Diceros bicornis minor: one gene and its partner. The protein of the gene in region 2 interacts with the protein of the main gene of each other region in a pairwise test. Links are inferred from orthologs where the notes say so. Each region holds a gene or a part of one and is shown on either strand. Other genes may lie near its edges.

The links. The genes of interacting proteins can lie anywhere in the genome.
Region 1: the proteins of SNRPA (region 2) and LENG8 interact in binary tests that used the Homo sapiens proteins (3 or more experiments, as listed by UniProt). The two-hybrid records come from large-scale screens. The link is inferred for Diceros bicornis minor from reciprocal best matches to the Homo sapiens genes SNRPA and LENG8.

Annotation. Positions count from the first base shown.
Region 1 is NC_080773.1:32,059,390-32,068,575, reverse strand, and holds the start of LENG8 (leukocyte receptor cluster member 8), read left to right. Parts: upstream 1-4,840; 5' UTR 4,841-4,943; intron 4,944-6,515; 5' UTR 6,516-6,570; coding exon 6,571-6,608; intron 6,609-7,569; coding exon 7,570-7,744; intron 7,745-8,118; coding exon 8,119-8,220; intron 8,221-9,051; coding exon 9,052-9,162; intron 9,163-9,186. Other genes in the region: TTYH1 (protein tweety homolog 1), read left to right, coding at 31-111, 234-267.
Region 2 is NC_080773.1:14,227,185-14,237,770, forward strand, and holds the start of SNRPA (U1 small nuclear ribonucleoprotein A), read left to right. Parts: upstream 1-6,395; 5' UTR 6,396-6,490; exon of another isoform or gene 6,491-6,502; intron 6,503-6,826; exon of another isoform or gene 6,827-6,959; 5' UTR 6,960-6,973; coding exon 6,974-7,046; intron 7,047-10,586. Other genes in the region: ACTMAP (actin maturation protease), read right to left, coding at 387-724, 1,532-1,602, 1,694-1,823, 2,188-2,312, 2,821-2,889, 5,037-5,356. UniProt on the Homo sapiens protein: Component of the spliceosomal U1 snRNP, which is essential for recognition of the pre-mRNA 5' splice-site and the subsequent assembly of the spliceosome. U1 snRNP is the first snRNP to interact with pre-mRNA.

The DNA of each region.
Region 1 (9,186 bases), about 18 Mb from region 2:
TGTCCCCTCTCACCCAAATCTCCCCAGCAGGAATCCAAGCGCTTTGTGCAGTGGCAGTCGTCTATCTGAGCCCCTCCTCCATGCCAGACTGCAGCCTACCCCCCACCTCCGGTGAGCTGCCAGAGCGACACCCCAGCTCCCAAAGCCGGCCTCTGCCCTCCTCTCCCTCACTCTGGGCACGGTGGTGGCCCTCCCACCTGCATCTGGTGCCCTGTCTCTGCCTCTCTCTGCAGTTCCTTCCCTGGCTGCTGGAGAAGACCCCACTAACCCAGCCCAACTGGGCTCCCACCACTAACAACGCCGCTGGCCACGGACACCCCAAATAGGACTGCTCCCCTGTCCTGCCCCCCTCTTTGTGTCCTAACCCTTGGGAGTAAGCTGAGGGGGCAGCCAGGGCCCCGGACTGGCCAGGGAGGGGCAGCCAGCCAGCCTCACACCCCCTCACCCCTGGCCGCCAGGCCCATCCTTGAAGGGACACGAGTGCCCCCGCCCCTGCGGTGCCCCAGTGGGCTTAGGGCCCTTGATCTCAACTTGTGGCACTAACTTGGGAATGGGTTGGTTTGAAATAAAAGGGAAGACTTTATTTTACAAGGATCTGGGTCCTTCTTATTTGTCCCCTCCTGGTTCTGGCCTCCTAGTTAGGTCCGGGGAGATCCCTTCCCCTCAGCCTCCTGGCTGCCGGTGTTTCTGCTCCTGTCCAGGCTTTGCGGCGGTTCCAAAGGGATTGTTCTTTTTAAAAAAAAAAATAACTTTTTTTCTCTGGTTTTAAAAGCAGTACATGTGTCCTGACACAGGACGAGGTGGACATCCCTGGAACAGAATAGATAGCCTGGTAATAGATCTCAGTGTTTGTATAGATGACAGAAGACAGACTGCAGGTCAGGGTGAGAAGGACCGTTTGGTTTCGAAGCACTGCTGACTTAACTGGCTCTCTGTCTGGAAATACATACGAGATGGGTGAAAAATCTAAGTGTATACAAGTAAAGGGATGGAAGCATTTCAAGAGAAAGTAGGAGAATTCTGTATATTGTATATCTTGCTTGGAGGGGGAGGATTTTAAGCAAGATATCCTAAAGCCGAAAAGGAAAAGGTAACATTTGACAAATTGTGGAACGAAAAAAATGCTGTCAAGAGGCAAATTGATAGTCTGGGGAAAATTGTGGGTTTTTTTAACATATATGGCAAAGAAATATATAATTCTTAATATATAAATATAATCTACAAAGCTTCCACAAACTAAGAAAAATACAACCCAACTTAAAAATAAGCAACTAAGATAGACATTCAATGAAGTGAAAATCCCATCACCAGTGAAAACGAAAAACCATTCAAACCATAATAATTAGGAAGTGCAATTTGAAACAACCACAAACTTTTTTTTCCACCACCTAGTTATCACGAAATTAAAGGAGCACTAACATTCCATGCTGGCAAGGATGTGGAGGAACCAGGCACCCAAACGCCCTGCTCCCGAGGCTGTGAACTGCAACACGAAAGAAATAATCTGCTCCTGTGTGATAAAATCAAACTGTATAGACCCTTGAGCCGGCAGTCCTACTTTTGGGAATCAATTTATGGAAAGAAAGCAGAGGCATCTGAGGACATATGTCAAGGACTGTTTGCTGCAACCATCAGCTAAACTCTGGAAACTAAAGTCCACAGAAAGACGACATGTCTGATAAGTCACCCTACAGCAGGGCTCTCCAGAACACGACAGCTCCTGGCTGGGCCTGGGATTTCAGGGAAAGCCTGAGAGAGGAGGGATTTGAGGTGGGTGTGACAATAGCAGCAGAGCAGACAAACACAGAGGAGGCCGTGGTTAAGCCCTGCCTGCTCTTTACCACCAGTTGGCCGTGGGCAGTCACCTGACCTGTTGGACCTCAGCTGCCTCAGCCATCAGATGGGTCATGAAAGACAGCTCCCCCGTCCCTCCTCTGCAGTTCTGAAATCCAAAGAGCTGTGTTAGACCAAACGTCCTCCCTTAACTCCCTGGGCAGCAGGACCTGACCCGACCTGGCATGAGGTGACTTCCAGACTATCTCCCTGCCTGGTGTGAATGTTCATCTGTTTCCCTGCAGAAACTGATGGGGTTACTTCCAAGTGCTGTGAAGGGTGCTGTGGATGTGGTGTGCCACATGGAACATAAACCATGTTGTCTCTCAAAACTTTGAAAAATCCTGGAGCCCCAAGACACATATATGGCCCTGAGGGTTTCGGGTGAGGGCTGGTTGGCTGAGTGTCAGATGCGGGTATCCAGCATAGGGCCTGCCATGGGGGAACCGCTCTGTGCTTGCTAATCATTTCCATCCTGTGCACTGCAAGGAGTGTTCAAGAGAGCTTTCAGTGTGTGGCCCTGAAGCTAGGAAAGAGAAATGGACTATAATTTCCTGTGAAGGGCTCTGGGGGCCACCTGTGTTGACTCACTTGCTTCTCAAGACCCGGTGAGCTGACCCTGGGGCCAGCCCTGCTGCTAGTCTGGCTGTTTTGCTCTCAAACACTGCCCCCTAGTGACTCTGAGTCCAGCGCGATGTGTTGGATTTCGCAAAGTACCCTTGAGGTTCAGGCCGCGTGATTTCCTGCCAGCTGGCCTTCCAGTGATCTTTAATCAGGAAGCTTTACCCAAGAAAAAAGGACATTTGCCCAATCTTTACCAAAGTAAATCTATAAATTTAAAATCTATCATTTATTTTTAAATGATACCTATGAGGACTCCCACTTCTGACCAAGATAGACTAAAAGGGACTGGATCTGCTCTCCTTCCTGAGACAACCAAAAAGCCAGGCAAAATTCGTGAAAGAACGGTGCTCAAGACTCGGGACATCAGGCAAGGAGGGAGAGTGGTCCCTGAGAGATGGGAAATATCAAGGTGATCCCTGAAATCACCAGTCTGTCAGAAGAGAGTTTCCCACCACAGTGCAGGGGAGGGGCCCCGAGGCAGAGCACCTCCCAAAGGCCCCACCTAAAACTGCTCTAAAAAATAAAGTCTATTTTTAAAAAAATGCTCAAAGCAAAAGAAGGCAGAAAAAGAGGAAAAGGGGAATAAAGAAAGATGGAACAAATAGAAACTCGATGGCAAGATGATGAGTTTAAAGGGAACCAAACCAATAGTCACACCAAAAGTACAGTTATAAGCACCTCTTTTAAAACGCAGAGATTGTACATTTGAGTAAAAAGAAAGATCCAGCTATATGCCGTCTACATGAAAACCCCCTTAAATATAACCCTGAAATGTACATGGATGCTAAATGCAGTGGGGTACCCTGGACTGGACTCTGGCACATAAAGGAGACGTCAGTGGAAAAAGTGGTGAAATTCAGATAAAGCCTGCAGTTTAGTTAATAGTCACGTGCCAATGTTGGTTTCTTCCTTCTAACAAACATACCACAGTAAAGTGAGATGACAGCATTAGGGGAAACTGGGTGTAGGGTACGTGGGACCTTGAACTATCTCTGCAGCTTTTTTGTAAGTTTAAAATTATTCTAAAACAAAAAGTTTAATAATAAAAAGTAAAAGAATGGAAAAAGGTCAACTATGTGTCGATGCAAATAATCGGTAATCAATCTATAAATCAAATGGGGGTGAGTTTATGATGAGCCAGTCCTGAGGATCACATAGCCGGGGAGAGTACCTTCACCAAGGAAGAAAGCTCTCTGAAGCAGCGGGGTATACAGAGTGGTTATAGACTCTTTTGGAACAAGGAATATACATCAGTTATGCCAGGAATATCTTTTACTACAGTCACAGGATACTTGCTAGCACAGCAGGTCGACGGTAATGAGATGAGCTAAAGCAGGATAGTAATTAACCCTTAATTTCTAGGAAGAAATGCTTATCTTGAAAGAAATACTGATATGAGGGGAGGCAATATCCCTATCTTCAAGGGCATCATTCTCCGCTTTGGGTCATTGTAAATGTTCAAAACAGATGGACAACGCATAGTCGACAGGCCAGGTCAACCCTTTCTGGAAAAACAAGGTCAGGCTGGATTAGTTTTAAACCAAACGGCTTCCTCACATACTCCAATGTATCTTACTGCTTTTTGGTTATTCATCATATGCTAACAGTAACAAAATGATACATACACCAAGAGAAAAGTCTATAGTAACAGAAAGTGGGAAGGAACTGGCCTCTGAAATACTGTTCTATCACCTACTGCGACTCCAGTGACCGCTCCCTGAACTGGACTGGATAATTTTATCAGCCCGAGTCCTGCATGGAAACAGATGGCATGCTCAAAAGGTGACTTGCAAGGAGTTTAAAGGAAGGCCAAACTCCTTAGACTTTCAGGATCTGCTACTGGCCTAGCTCTTCACGCCAGGAGGCCACACACTTCCATCCTATACCTGCTCCGAGCATTCTCCCCGACCTACCCTTGTTTCCCGCCTCTGAGTGTTTCACCAGGCCGTTCCCTCCGCCGGGTGCGCCTTCCCCGTTTTATCTAGTAGGGAAGCTCCCCTTTCCAAGGGGAGACTGTTCTCACCCCCTTTCTCTGAGTTCATTGTCTTCCCCGGGCCTTCCGCAGCACTGTACGGTGGGTAGTTTTACAACTCTCATCACCCTAGTCTACACCTAGAGATAAGCAAGGCTACCGCGAACCGAGGCCCCACACGGCTGCGCGGAAGGGCGCAGGGTCCTACAAGCCTGCGGCGCCTGTCCCCTCGGGGCCACCATCCCCCCGCCCCGTTTCCGGCTTGCCTTTAAAGTGCCCACCGCGTCATTGCGTAGGCGGGGGGGGGGGGGAACGGGCTCAGATCAAGGTTGCGGCGGCCATTGGCTGTGCGGCGGGAGGGAGGCGGGGCGAGGCCTCCGTGTGACGTCATCACGCCGCGGTCGGGACTTCGGAGCCCTAGGAAGACAAGAGCCAGCCGGGTCGGGAGCACTCTCGCGGCCGTGTTGCTCTCGCTTTGGGCCGCTGCTGACGATTCCCGGGGCGATCGGCCGAGGTGGGTGTGGGGAGCTGCGGGCCGGCGGGCGGGCGTGGTCGGCGTCTCCTTTCGGCATTACTCCGCGCGGGCCCGGAGGCCTCGGCGGCTGTCGCAGCAGCGGACGCCGCGCGCGAGCGGCGACAGGGTGTGGCGGGCCGGAGCGGCCACTGCGCCTGCGCACCCGCGCGCCTGCGCCGTGGGCCCGGCTGCCGACCCCGCCCTCGGAATTCCGGGGCCCGCGCGCCCCCGCCCTCAACACCCATTGACCGCGCGATTCCAGCCGCGGGGCGGCGTTGTCCCGGGCGACGGGCGGCTCCTGCGCCGGCTTTTTCCCCGGGGCGGTGGCTCCGGAGCCAGTCGCGGGGGCCGAGGTGGGCTCTTCCTGCAGCCGGTGCCCCTGCTCTGCGTTCTCCGGGCCTGCGGGGCGGCCAAGTGCCCCTCGCCTCCCCGGCCTCGCGTCCGGTTCCTGCCTCCACCCTTCAGACTCGCCAGGACGCTCACTGCAGGCCTTCCTCCCCTATTTCCTACCCTCCCCCGTCCTCTTGTTTACTCTTTAAGGCCTTTCTTTTCTAGGGCTGTTCCCAGCTCCAGACTTCTGTTCCTGCTCCCTCACTTCTACGATTTTCAGGTTCTCCAGTGAGACTCGCCTTGGAGCCCACCCATACTTCTCAGTTATCCCCCCAAGTTCAGGCCCCTCAGTCTTTGCCTCCAAGACACCCCTTCACTTTCTTGCAGTCCTCTCCACCCCCGTCTCAACCTCCTAAAGATGTTCTGGATCTCTTCAGGCATCCCTGAAGCTTACTTTCCAGACCCCCAATCGCGGGGCTGCCTCTTCTCCTTCCTGGGCCTACCCCTCCTTTTAGGAACCTGCCATGTAGGGTTCTTCTGTGCCCTTAGGGGACCTTCCTGTAATTAGTCTCTTAAAAGCTTTTCAAGAACCCATTTCTTCACTGCGGGGTTCCCCTTGGGCACCCTCAACTTCTCCCTGTTTCCAGGAGTAACTTATAGAAATCCCCTTTTCCTTTGATTTCTTTTTCTGTTCTCTGGTATTCTCTTCTCTCAAGGCTCCCTCAAACCCTTCCCTCTTTACAGAGTTCCCCTCAGAAACCTTTCAGCGTCCGCCAGCCTTAGGAGTTCACTCAGGCTTTGCTCATCAGGGCGTCCTCTTTCTTCTGCTTCCTCTCTGGAATTCCTCTTGGACTCCTTACCCCTTGACTGAGGTCCCCCCAGCCTACCCTCTGGACCTCCCTCTTATCTGTCTCAGAGTTTCCCTTGAACCACCTTCCCCTTCCTCCTATGTGTTTCAGATCCTTCTCCTTCCCTTTGGGAAATTCCTTCAGACATCCCTGTTTTCAGATCCTTCATTTCCCACCTAGAGCACTGCAGGGAGGCCAAGGTCTTGCCCTCTTACTGTAGCCCTTTTAATTGACACCCAGAATTCTCTTCAGATTTTTTACCCCAGTGGCTCCTTCTTTCTCAGACTCCCCCTTTCTGCCTAGCTCCTCTGAGTCCATCCACTTCTCTTCCTGTTTTTGTGACATGTCTCTTGCTCCTTCTTGAGTCTCCCTAACTCTTTTCTTTTTCTCGTAGACAGTGAAAAAGCAGTCTGGCTCCCGAGGTCCACCCCTTACACCCCAAGGTCCAGATGGCGGCCAACGTGGGTGATCAACGGAGCACAGATTGGTTAGTGGGGCTAGTGGGACAGAAGCTGGAGGGGAGGGCGAGAGGACGTGAGAGCCAGTGTTGTCCTCTGGGATGGCCCTCCCACAACAGCGTGGGGGAAGTGATGCAGCAGTCCCTGTGGGCAGCGGTGGGGATGACGCCCTCCTCTGGCCTCAAGCATAAAAGGAAGCATGTGGTCATAGTGTGAAGAGGGTTGGGTCTTCACCTCTCTGAACTTTCATATTTCACAGTGCAGTGCTTGTTTCACAAGATTGTGATGATTCATTCATGAACTATGATTGGAGGCGGTCTCCAACACTTAATACTCAAGCATTTATCTTTTTGTTAATTGCTTGTTTTTTCCACCGCATTGTGATAATTACCTGCTGGCTGGGGTAGCGTCAAACGGAATTCTTTGATTCATAAAACATTTACACCTCTTAGGCGCCAGGTTCCATGTTTACTTCTGTGGACACTGGTAATTTTTTCATTTGTTTGATTTTTATTGACTGATTGAGGAAGATCAGCCCTGAGCTAATATCCATGCCAATCTTCCTCTTTTTGCTGAGGAAGACTGGCCCTGGGCTAACATCCATGCCCATCTTCCTCCACTTTATATGGGATGCCGCCACAGCATGGCTTGACAAGTGGTGCCTCTCGGTGCGCACCCGGGATCCAAACCCGGGCAGCCAGCAGCAGAGCGCGCGCACTTAACCGCTACGCCACGGGGCTGGCCCCCTGTTTGATTTTTAACAGCTATGTATCAGGCACCTGGAAAAGTACCTTAGGTAGGTAGTCTCATTTATCCCTCAGAAAACTGAAGCAGAAACTAATTGTCAGCATTACCATAGATTAGGAAATCTAGGCTCTTATAGATGGAGAGAGGGAGATCCGGGATTTGAGCTCTGGTATTTCCCTGCCTCCGTCTTGCCCACTGTGTGCAGTGGGGAGAGGAGACTGACTCGACGTCCTCTCTCTGCAGGTCCTCCCAGTACAGCATGGTGGCGGGGGCGGGCAGAGAGAACGGCATGGAGACGCCCATGCACGAGAACCCAGAGTGGGAGAAGGCCCGCCAGGCCCTGGCCAGCATCAGCAAAGCAGGAGCTGCTGGCAGCTCTGCCAAGGCCAGCAGCAATGGGCCGGTGACCAGCGCACAAGTGAGAGGGCCGCACGGGCCTGGGCACGCTGCACGGGGGGCTGCTGGGGGAGGCACACATGTGGTGTCTTTGTATCACTGGACACAGTGCTCTGAAGAGATTGTAGGAGCTTTCGGGTAGGGGAAGCAGGTCTGTTTCCTTGAAGAGTCGGAGGTACCATGTGGTCCTTGCCCCTGGGAACCTAACCTGAAGAGCGAGGCGTGCCTTCAGTGCCCCGAGTCCGAGGTAGAGGCAGTGGCTCTCTGTGGAGAGATGTGGACCCAGTTCCACTCCGGCAGTTGACCACCAGAAAGTCAGCCTGCCCTTGTGGGGGCTGTGGGGCCCGTGGGTTCCTGCTGCCAACGCTGATGGCGTGTGGGCCTCTCTTCCCACAGTACGTGTCACAGGCAGAAGCCTCGGCCCTGCAGCAGCAGCAGTACTACCAGTGGTACCAGCAGTACAACTACGCCTACCCTTACAGCTACTACTACCCCATGGTAGGTGCCCAGCCCGGCAGGGATGGGTGGGTGAGGAGCTGGGCTCAGTCAGGATGGGTCCAGAGTAGTTAGTGGGTTGAAGTCAGCAGTGACAACCGCTGAAAAGCCCTCCACTAGCTTATTGCCCACGAGATAAATCCCCGGTCCTGCCTGTGGCCCGCCAAGTCCCACGTTACCTGGTTCTGGCCACCTTTCCCCGCATGCTCGCTGACAGTTGCCACAGAGACCTCCTCCATCTCTGCACACACCAGGTCCACTCACACTCTGCTCTGCTCTGCTGCAGCTCTCTTCCCCTGTTCCCACGGCGCCCTGTGTCCCCGCCTCCTGGAGGGCTGCCCAGATGTCACCTTCAGAGAGCCCTTTCCTCTGGCAAACTTAGTCATGTACAGGGCTGTCCCCCGCTCACCCTGTTGTCTCTGTCTTTATTTGGCCTTCTTTTACTTGCCGCTGGATGTGTTACGTGTTTGTCTACGACTGAGCCTAGGTTTTGAGTGCAAACTTGTTAGAGCACAGGTTTAGTCTTTTATATTTTGTTCTATTGTAGTGCATAGAAGAGTTGGCACTCAGTAGATATTTGTTGAATAGAGAGAAACTTCTAAAAACTAGTGGAAGTGGGGTATGGAATTGATAGCAGTTTTCATTTTATTTACTAATTTTTTTAATATAAGATAATTTGATGCATTTATGCGGTGGAGGGAGAAAGAGGGGTGAGAGATGAGTGGAGAGTCACAAGTTGTGTATGGCTCCTGAGTGGCAGGAGAAGGGGGCAGGCCTAGACCTTACGGCAGGAATTGGGCCTGCCCCTAACCCTCCTTCCTGTGCCTTTGGCAGAGCATGTACCAGAGCTACGGCTCCCCCTCCCAGTACGGGATAGCCGGCTCCTACGGCTCAGCCACACCCCAGCAGCCATCGGCACCCCAGCACCAAGGGACTCTGAACCAGGTAACGCCCCAGCTGTCTCCGTGT
Region 2 (10,586 bases):
AGTGGTTAGAAGGTGGTCACCAGTGAGAATTCAATGGATGCAACATTCACGTAGAATGGATAGGACATTGGGTCTGAGCTGCTGTCAGTCTCCCCTGGAGAGAGGGAGCTTGTCTATGAGGCTTCTGGTTCTAACCCCGGCCCACAGAGTAGGTGCTCAATACTGGGGGGATGGGCTTGGGGGCAGAGGAGTTGGGACAATACCCAGGATTGGGACTGGATGCACTGGGGTGGACCCTGCATGAAAGACCTCTGGCTGGAGGTCCTCAGAGATCCAACCCAAACCCTTGGGCTGTTGCACAAAAGGAGAAACGGGGGCGTTTTTCAAATGGTGACAGAGCCAGGCTGTGGCCCAGACCCAGTCCCACAGCTCAGGGCCGCAGCAGGCTAGTGGCTAGAGTCCTGTGGTCTGAGGAGCAGGGCCTGTCCACAGAGGCCGGCCCGCACCCCACCAGCAGGCACCACATACTCCCGGCCATCAGCGGCCCTCGAGGGCGAGAAGTCCGTCAGCTGCAGGTTGCTATCCCGGACTTGGTCGTAGTCCCACAGCTGGTAGTGCCAACTCTTGCCCTGCTTGGAGAGAAGGTAGACGACTCCTGGCGAGTCTTCCTCCGGCAGGGATGGTGGCTGGCGGGGCGTGTGAGGCACTGGGTGGAACAGGCCTGGCAGCTCGGGGTCCTCGGCATAGCCGAGACTTGGCACATGCTGCACGCCCAGCAGGACCCCTGGGAGGAGAGGGGGAGGCTGTGAGTGGGAGCTGAGCCCTGACGAGGTGCTGGGGCTCACTGAGTGCACCCCACAGCCCTCCAGGGTAGGTGCTGCCTCTATCCCCACGGTACAGAGACGTCAGCAGGGACCACAGGCAGGGCTGAGATCTGCACCCAGGGTGTCTGGCTCCACAGCTGCAGGCAAGTCCTGCCTCCTCCAGCCTGTCAGCACAGGGAGCTGGGAGGCGGCGCTAAAAAGAGCAAACAGCCATTTGCATCACAAAGAGATACTCAGGGAGGAGCCCTCCAGGCCACAGACCCACGAGGGGCCCAAGTGGAGCCTCAATCCAGGCCACCTGACACCCGCAAATCCATCCTTCTTTCAGGCAGGTGGAATGATGACAACGCTCATCACAGCCAACACTGAGACGTGTAACGTGCCAAGCCCTGTTGTACGAGTTCTATGTGCTCAGCCTGTAAAGCAGCCCTGTCAGTGGGTGCTACTGTCACCTTGATTTCCAGATGGAGAAATGGAAGCCCAGAGCAGAGCCTGGGAGTGGCTGGACCGGGCCTGGAGCCCAGACTGTCCGATCCTAAAGTCTGCACTCTGAGCTTGTGCATGGAAACCCCCACTGGCAGACACTGAGGCACCTGCTGTCTGCCAGGTCCCTGCTAAGTACCCTCTGGGGACAGGGATGGCCCAGCCCTTGTCCTCGCCTCGAGGGGACTGGGGAGGTGCCAGTGCAAGGGTGAAACTGTGAGGGGGGGTGACGGGGGGCTGGGGAGATCCAGCGTGAGGGCTCAGGGGTGCAGGGGGCGACCCACCTGCGCTCACTGCCCAGTGGGCCTTGTAGCCCTTTCTCTGACACGGCTCGTGGTTGAAGTCCTCATCGTAGCTGGTGCTGGGGTTAAGGCCAAAGCTGTGGTGTGGCCCTGGGACCCACCCTTCTCCATCCCCACCCTGCTCTCTTCCCGGCCTTGGGATACGGGATGAGCAAGGGATTTCCAGCGACAAGGTGCTGCAGGACACGGTCTCTGTTGGGACCGCCCAGGCCTCCAGAAAGCAGCTCAGCCTGGCAGCCCAGCGCCTCCCGGGCCAGCCTGCCCACGTTGGCCACTGCAGACAGAGCAGACACAGAGCAAGGCATCACTGTGTGCCTGGGACCGTGCCAAGGGCTCTCTGGGGATCGAGCCTCTAGCTCCCACCATGACCATCACCTCTTTGTACAAACGAAGAAAATGAGGCTCCAAGAGGGTAAGCTGCTTGGCCAGGGCCACACAGTAGGGGGTAGCAGAGCTGGCTGGGAACCCAGGCAGCCTGGCTCAAGTCTACCTTGTAATACTCTGCTCTACCGGGTGGGGAGACGGGCCTGAGGAACAGAATAAGTTCCCCTCATGCACCTGGCAGTGTCCCACCCAGCCTCTCCAGTCCCCTGCTGGTGAAGAACACCTGACTTGCAACCCTTCTGCACCCAACTCACCAGAGAACATCTCTCCCTGGGCCGTGTAGCCTCTCTCCACAGCCATGTGCACGAGTCTCTCCAGGGGGACACCGCTGGGGGGCGCCAGGAGAGTGCCTGCCATCCACAAGGCCACCAGCCCACACCTGGGGAGAGCCAGGCCCAGCCCCTCAACCTGAGTCATGTCTTTACTGGGCACTCCTTTGCCCCAGAAGCTGAAGTTTGGGTAACAGGTTTGCTGCCCTGGGGAAGTTCCCCTCCCCTCTCTCAGGCCGGGTGGGGACACCTGACTCCCTTTCATGAGAGAGAGGATGGCCAAGGCCTGAGCCCAGGGCTGGAGGGCTGGAGGTGGGGTGAGAGGGTGGGCACAGACGTCACCTGGGCTTCAAAGAGGAGTAGGTGCAAAAGTGGAGTTAGAGATGAGGGACCAGGTTCATTCATTCACTCACCTGCTCATTGGTGCCAACTCTGTCTACTGCGCATGCACCCAGGACCTCAACTTGGTAAGTTCCCCTTCCCGCCCCCCCACCTCCCCAGCCTGCCTCCTCCCACTCCTCCCACCCTCCTGGGTCAATCCTCACGAAGCCCAGCAAAGGCAGGGGCTCGGAATGCCTGGCCGGCCAGGGGGCTGGAGTTCCGCATCAGGGCACGTACTGAGGGCCTTCTTGGATGAGGGAGGGCAGCTCCGCACAGAAGAGGATCCACCGCAGGTCACTCCTGAAACTGAATCAGAGCCACACTCAGGTCACGTGGGAACTAGCTCCTAGACCCCCGCCTTGAGGTCTGGCCAGGAGTGGGGTGTCAAGGGACGGTGATGAGGAGGAACACAGGCCTGGCTGTCCTGAAGCCCGAGGGCCACTCCTGGTTCTGTCACTGACTTCCTTCACCCCAGATGAGGGACTTCCCGTCCCGAGCCTCAGTTTCCTCATCTGCTCAATGGGAATCATCCTTCCACCTGCTGCTCCCTGCTCCTTCTCTCAGTTACCGAAGGGGCGAAGGTTTGCAACCAGGAACCACAGAAATATCTTATATAAGGTGAAAATTCCTTAATTCAGCCTTGAGTAAAACCAGGTAACAACATGCTCCAGGCCTAGAGATCACCTTCATAATGAGCCCTTGCAGGCCCGCCCAGCCCCACCCTTGGGGAGGCCTGCCAACAGCTCTGGTGATGCCAATCCCACTCCCTCCAGGGCTCAGGAGGGGGAGGGCCAAGTGCTTGTATTTCTATTAGAAGGCCAGTGAAAGGGCAAGGCTGGGGGGGCACCCCACCCTCCTGATAAAGCAGGTGCTATCACGGCACATGATTAAGAGCATGGAGCCCCGTTGCCTGAGTTCAAATTGGGCTCTTTCTCTTCTAGGCACTGTGGCTAAGTGATTTCACTTCTATGAGCCTCAGTTTTCTCATCTGGAAAATGGGATAATAGTTCCCATTGCATGAGCTGCTGAGCGGTTTAAATAAGTACTTAAAAACACGTAGAACACTGCCTGACACATGCTAGGCAGGCATAACGGGTATTGTTATTTGCATCAAATTTGCCTCACTATGGTTGGGGCATTTAGGGCAGATTATCAACTCATTTGGAGAGCTGGAAGTTTCCTCTTGGAGTCTGGGCAAATCACTTCTCCCTCTCTCACTCAGCCAGACAATTGGTAAACCGGGTCCCCACAGCCCGAGCCCAAGTCTAGCCCCTCCCCTCCCGCCTGGGTCCCTTGGTGCTCCAGCTTCCTGCTGGGTCCCCAGGTTCCAGTCTCACCACCTCCACTCCCCGCAGTCGCCTCCCTCCCTGCACAAAGCCCTTCCACGGCTCCCTAGTGCCCTCAGGACAGTCCACTTTCCTTCACATGGGCCCCCATGCCCTGCCCACCTGTGAAACCCCATCTTTGCCACTTCCCCTGTCCCCTTAGAGAAACATTTGCAGGGCCTTTACAAGAACATGTCTTCCTTTCACTCTAGTCTCGGCACAAGCTGCTTACTCTCGTGACACAGCCCTGCAGGACTTGCTCAACAGCTCTCAGGGGTCCCATTCTCCAAGCAGGTCCCCCTCACCCCCAGCCTGGGTTGGGCACTCCCTCTGGGTGCCCAGAGTTTTGACTGCTCTGGGCTGTCACTCTCTGGTGGAGGGAGGGATCTGTCTCACTGGACTAGATGCTTGTGATACCAGTTCAACCCAAGGTTGACATAAGGAAGCCATATTGAAGAAAAGAACCCATATTGTAACTTTGAACGACCTTCCATTAACTAACCCAGACATACTCTGTAGATTTTATGGCCCCTTCCAACTGCTTTACATGGATAACTTTATTCTTCTGAGTCCCTTAGGAATGTGGTGACCCCTGGGCAGAGAGTCTATGCTGACTGCCATCATCAATGACAACTGAAAGATCAGGGTATAACACCCTGCTCAGCTCTCTGACCCGTATCTAGTAAAACAAAGACTATCAGATGCCTCCCCCACCTGGAGACCAGCCCCATAGATAACTGGCCTGTAGTCCTTTTTCCGTAAGATGGTTCTTTTGGACATTAGTCGCCATGTTCCCCCTTGCTAGCAAGCTGTAATGAAAAGTCCTTTCTCTCCTACCTCCTTGCCTCTTGACTACTGGCACGTCTTGCGGTGGGCAGACGCCACGCCCCCCCCCCCCCCCCCCCCCCCGACCCCTACCCCCTTGGGTGGCAACACTTGTGGGGGCAGGATCTTTCTTCAGGGCTGAAGGCACACCACTGCTGTAGCGGTCTAAGTAGGGGGCTGAAGCAGTCAGGCTGTTTGACGTTGAGGAAACGAGAAACCTCCCAGAGGAGATGGCTGAAGTGCTCTGGGGACAGGTGGTTCAGTGAGGCCCCGGGGGGGTGGGGTGGGGCACAGGGACCCTACCGCTCCTTGTGCAGCTTCAGCAGCCTCTTCACATCCTCTCTGCTCCTGGGGACTGGGCCAGCCTTCTCCAAGGCCTCCTTCAGGAGCCGGCTCTTCTCCAGGCCGTAGACATGAGGGGGAGCAACCCCTGTGGCAGGGGGTGGAGGTGGCAGTGGGGGTGGTGGGGGAATAGGGGCCTCAAGACTCAAGGAAGGGGGTGGAAAAGCTAAGTCGGGGAGATGTGGGGGTAGCGGAGGAGGTGGAATGATGGGGGCCTGGGGTGCAGGGGGTCTTGGAGGAGGGGCTGGTGGCTCTAGGGGAGGAGAACACGGAGAAATCATTTGAGAGTCTATGGCATAGGCTGGAAGTCAAGAATGGGAGAGAGAACGATCCTCCAAAATGAGTTGGTCTCAGGGATGGAGATTCTGAAGGTTTTAGAGCTGAGTCCCAGAATTTAGTGGCCGAGCCATCATTGAAAGAACCATGGTAAAATTTGGAACCATGGGAGCAGGGAGGAGGCTGACTCAAATCAGGAGGGATCTGAGGGTTAACAGGGCAGGGTCCTTTAATCCGGAGCTAGATTTGTGCTATCCGGTTGGGTTGCAAGGCTCAAGGAGGGCGATTTAGTAGGAGTTAACTAATCCGGGACTAGATTTGGAAACTTCAGGATCAATTTTGGGATATGAAGGCTCAGACCTGGGGTGAGGCGCCTAAGCCGTGGGATTTAGAAGCCCAGGGCTGAAGACTGGGTTATTCACGCTCTGTAACCCCTCACACTGCAGGCCCGAGTTCAGAAACTTGGAGCTGACCTTTGAGCCAGACGTCAAGAGGTCAAAAGGACACCTGGCAGGAAAAAGAGCCTACTTGTGGAGAATGTCCTAGAATCAGAGCGCAAAAAAACAAAGTCTTGCGGGCTGGGGAAGGCTCAGAAATCGGAGAGCGCTGGGAGCCACGATACCGTTGGGGTAGAGAATGAAGCCAGGACGTAAAAGGCGCCTCCGCAACCCCACAAAATGGCGGCCGCAGCTCACAACCTTTCACATGTCACGTGGTAGGACTCGCAACTCGTGCCCGCCCCTTTAGCGATCACGTGACAGAGAAGGCGCGGCGGAGGGGAGGTTGGGGCTGCCAAAGGACTGTCTCCGGAAGAGATTGCAGCACGAGCCGCGTCCCGATTGGCAAGAAGCGCGTGAGCGGGCGCAGCCTTCATTGATTGGTCCGGAGCCTCAGGCGCCGCAGCAAGCGGAGGGTTTGCGGGGAGTGGGCGGGGTGTTCCTGCCGAGGCGGGAACCTAAGTGCCGTTTTGATTGGCAAGATCTGGCCCAGGGGCGGGACTTACTCTGATTGGTCAAGCTACCGAATTTCCGCGCGGGGATTGGCTTGCAGAAAGACAGAGGCGGGGCCAGGAGAGGCAGCTTTGTGGTCGGCACTCAGAAGCGTAGCAGGCAGCACTTGCGGGAGCTGTGGCTCTGTTTGTAAGTAATCTCGGGCGCAGGCGGCCATTGACGCCGGGCGGGCGTATCGCTTGGCGTCCGAGCCTTCTCGCACCTCGTGTGGGGAAATTATTTTCCCACTGCGCGAGGCCAGGGCGCCGCAAAGTCGTCCCTCCTTCCTTAACTGGCTCTTACATCCGGGTTTTTTCTCCTGGGCCGCCCTTTGAGTGCGTGGGCCAATGGGAATCGCCACTTAGTACGCTCCGCCTACTGGGTCGCGTAGAGCATCCTGGGACTGGTAGTAAACCTCTCGAGATTTCCCTCACACGCGAGGAGGAGAAGCCGCGTGCTGCGTTGGCTTTGTTTCCCCGGCTTTGCCTCTCTCTTCTCTTCTACCTACGTGACCTGCCTTCCTCCTGGAAGGAAGATCCATAATCAGCCCGTTAAGCCCGCGCTGGGACAAAGGATTTGGAGAAAGCCAGGGCTGAAGTTATCTTTTTCCTTCTTTTAGCCCTACCTCACTCCATGGCAGTTCCCGAGACCCGTCCCAACCACACTATTTATATCAACAACCTCAACGAGAAGATCAAGAAGGATGGTGAGTTCTCGGAATAGTTCTGACTCCATGCTGTCCCGCAGGAGCTGGCCGCCTCTTCCATCCCCAGTATCTACTTCCTTTCCTGAGCTTCCTCCAGCCAAACTGTTAGAGTTGACCCCTCGGCCTTTGCACGTGCTGCTTCCGCTGTCTTTAACGCTCCTCAGCTCATCTCCCGCTCCGCGCGGTAACCTGGTCACTGTTGCTCGTCCTTCCAGGTTTCAGCTCACAGGACCCCTCCTCCAGGAAGCCGTGCCCATCCCCTTTCCCCTCAGGTGCCTGCCTCTGACTTCCCACGGGCCCTAGACATCCCCTCCTCAAGCCCTGATCCTTCTAGGCTGTCATGGGGCTGTCCCTCCGCTGGCCTTTGAGCTCCCTGAGGGTTAGAACTGGGACTGTCTTGGTCACTGTCGTGTTCTCAGTGATCAGTCCCCAGTGAACGTGTTTCATTTCAAAATGAAAATGACAGACGTCAATTGAAAAAAAAAGAAAGTGAAATGAATAAATAATGATGGTTAACACTCTATACGAGGCACTGATGTATGAATCTTTTTTTTGTGGTGAGGAAGATTAGCCCTGAACTAACATCTGTTGCCAATCCTCCTCTTTTGTTTCCCTGAAGAAGATTGGCCCTGGGCTAGCATCCGTGCCCGTCTTCCTCTACTTTACATGGGACGCCGCCACAGCGTGGCGTGATGAGCGGTGCACAGGTCTGGGCCTGGAATCCAATCCTACGAACTCTGGGCCGCCGGAGTGGAGGGTGTGAACTTCACCACCACGCCACCAAGCAGCCTCTGATGTATAAATCTTGATCACGTGTAATTTTCACAACAGCCCTGCAGGAAGGAGCTGTTATTCCCGTTTCTCACATGAGGAAACTGAGACTCAGCAGTGATGTGACTTGTCCAAGGTCACACAGCAAGGAAAAGTGGTTGAGGCCACTGGTGTGGAATTCTGCTGGAGAACGCCATTCTTGACATCTGATGTACTCTCCCATTTTCTTCAGCAAGTTACTACCTTTATTGAACTTCATTTTCGGTATTTGAAAACTGGGCAAAATTATAATTCCTTCTTTGCACGGATGTTACGGGGCTTGAATTAGCTAAACCTCCATGCAGTGGTTATTTTTTTTCTTTTTTTGGTGAGGAAGATTGTCCCTGAACTAACTGTGCCCATCTTTCTCTATTTTGTACGTGGGACGCCTGCCACAGCATGGCTTGATGAGTGGTGTGTAGGTCCACACTCGGGATCTGAACCCGTGAACCCCGGGCCGCTGATGCGGAGTGTGTGAACTTAACCACTATGCCACCAGGCTGGCCCCCAGTGCTTGTTTTTATGGTACCTGGCAGTTAGTAGGAGTCTGATAAATGTTAGCTCTCACTGTCACCTCAAGAAAATTGCTGGCAGAACCAAAGGAGCTTACTGGGACGAAGTTTGAGGTTACTGATCAAGTTGCTGTTGAAAACAAAGTAAGTCACGTAAATCCCCCACGTGCTTTAAAGCATCATGCCCAGCCAGCACCCTGCGGTGCTGGGGACACATTGGTGCCTGGTGCAGTCCTGGTCCTGCCTTCATGGAGCCACAGTCCAGTGTGGGTGACAGACCCGCTACCAGACAGTGGTAGCCCAGAGGAGCCAGGGCCATGACTGGGGAAGCACAGGCCGAGCGGTCAGGGCTGGGATTGGGCACCTAGAAAGAGAGATTCATTCAGTTTCATAGAGAAGGAGACATTTTGGAAAGGTCTTCCAGGTAGGAATCAGTATTTGTGTGATGATGAGTGGGAAGAGTGTTCCTAACCTGGACCAGCATGTGCAAATATCTAGGGGCCAAAGAGAGCTGGGGCATTCTGGGAACTATGGGTAATTTTGTGTGCCTGAGGCCTAGAGGAGAAGCTTCCAGTGAGCAGTGCTCTGATGGCTCATGGGGCCTTGTGGGCCGGGTGAGGCGTTGGACTTCGTCCTGAGGGCCTCAGGGAGCCAGGCAACAGATGCAGTCAGTTGTGAAAGAGCTTCCAGGTGTGGAGGGTGAACGTGAGTGGGCAAGAGAGGAGCCTGGGGAGAGCCCAGGGTCCAGTGGAATGACTGTGGCCCCAGCTGGGGTCACGGGGATGGGGGATGGAGACAAAAACCAGAAATAGCACCAGGAGAATTTTTGGTTAATTATTTCCCCTCAGACTCACTCGCCCCCACACACACATTTTCTTCTTCCCTGCCCTAGAACCCGTTTCACCAAAAATCTTCAGCTGAGGTACCTTCTTTGCATAAGATGGGTACCCTTTTCCTGCTTGGGTGGTGAGAGGTCTTCCCTTGGTGGAGCTTGACTCCTCCTTGCTGTCAAGTGATGAGGCATTTTGCTAGTGAGGTGTGGTGGTACTGGGTTCAGATGGACCTGGTCCTGGTGCCAGCTCTGCAGGGCTTTCCCACCACCCTCAGGACACTTGTCCTGGGCCAGTGACAAATCCTCTGGGAGCCTGTTTCCATGTTTGTGAAATTGAGACAGTTGTAGTTGCTACTCGTGGAGTTGTGAGAATTTAATGAAGTTATTTCCATAAAACACTTAATGATATCTTTTTCCATGTAAATGTTTGTGGAGAAATTTGTGTGCTGGAATCTGTACTAAGCATGGCGATACTGCGGTCAACAAATGGGACAGGCTTGTAGCTCTTCAGAAGGAGAGCCAGACATCAAGTAAACAGACATGTTAGGAGGTGGAAAATGCCATGAAGGAAAAGCAGGTGGGGTACGAGGAGGGGGAAGAGTCACATGAAGGCGCATTTCTTTAGACATGTGGTCAGGCAAGGCCTCTGAAGTGGCAACATTTCTGCTGAGACCTGGGTGACTAGAAGGAGGCAGCCATGTACACATCAGGAGAAAGGTGTTCTTGGTAGAGGGAGCAGCCAGTGCAAAGGTCCTGAGGCAGAAATTGGTGTGTTGGGCCTGAGAATGGGCTGGGAGGCCAGTGTGGCTGGAGATACGGGAGTGAGATGGAACGTGGAGAGAGATGAGGTTGGAGAAGTCAGCCAGGGCAACATCACCCAGGCCTGTGTCAAGGTGCTGTGGACGATGAAAAGAAGTATATGATGGGGGCCGGCCCCGTGGTGTAGCAGTTAAGTGTGCGCACTCCGTTGCTGGCGGCCCGGGTTCGGATCCTGGGCACACACCGATGCACCGCTTGTCAAGCCGTGCTAGGGCGGCGTCCCATATAAAGTAGAGGAAGGTGGGCACGGATGTTAGCCCAGGGCCAGTCTTCCTCAGCAAAAAGAGGAGGATTGGCATGGGATGTTAGCTCAGGGCTGGTCTTCCTCACAAAAAAAAAGAAGTATGTGACGCATTTATGGAGCAGTTGCTATGTGGCCTTTGTATGTGTGAGTCGTTCCTCATACGGCAGTCCTGTGGGGTAGGTATCGTTACTGCCCGCCTCTTACAGAGGATGCACACGACCACTTGAGTGGTTCTTGGCTGCTGCTGGTGTTGCTGCCTCTTGAGGGATTCCTGACCCACGGCATTCTGGGTAGGCTGTCCGTTGGCTGATGGTTTCTCTTCT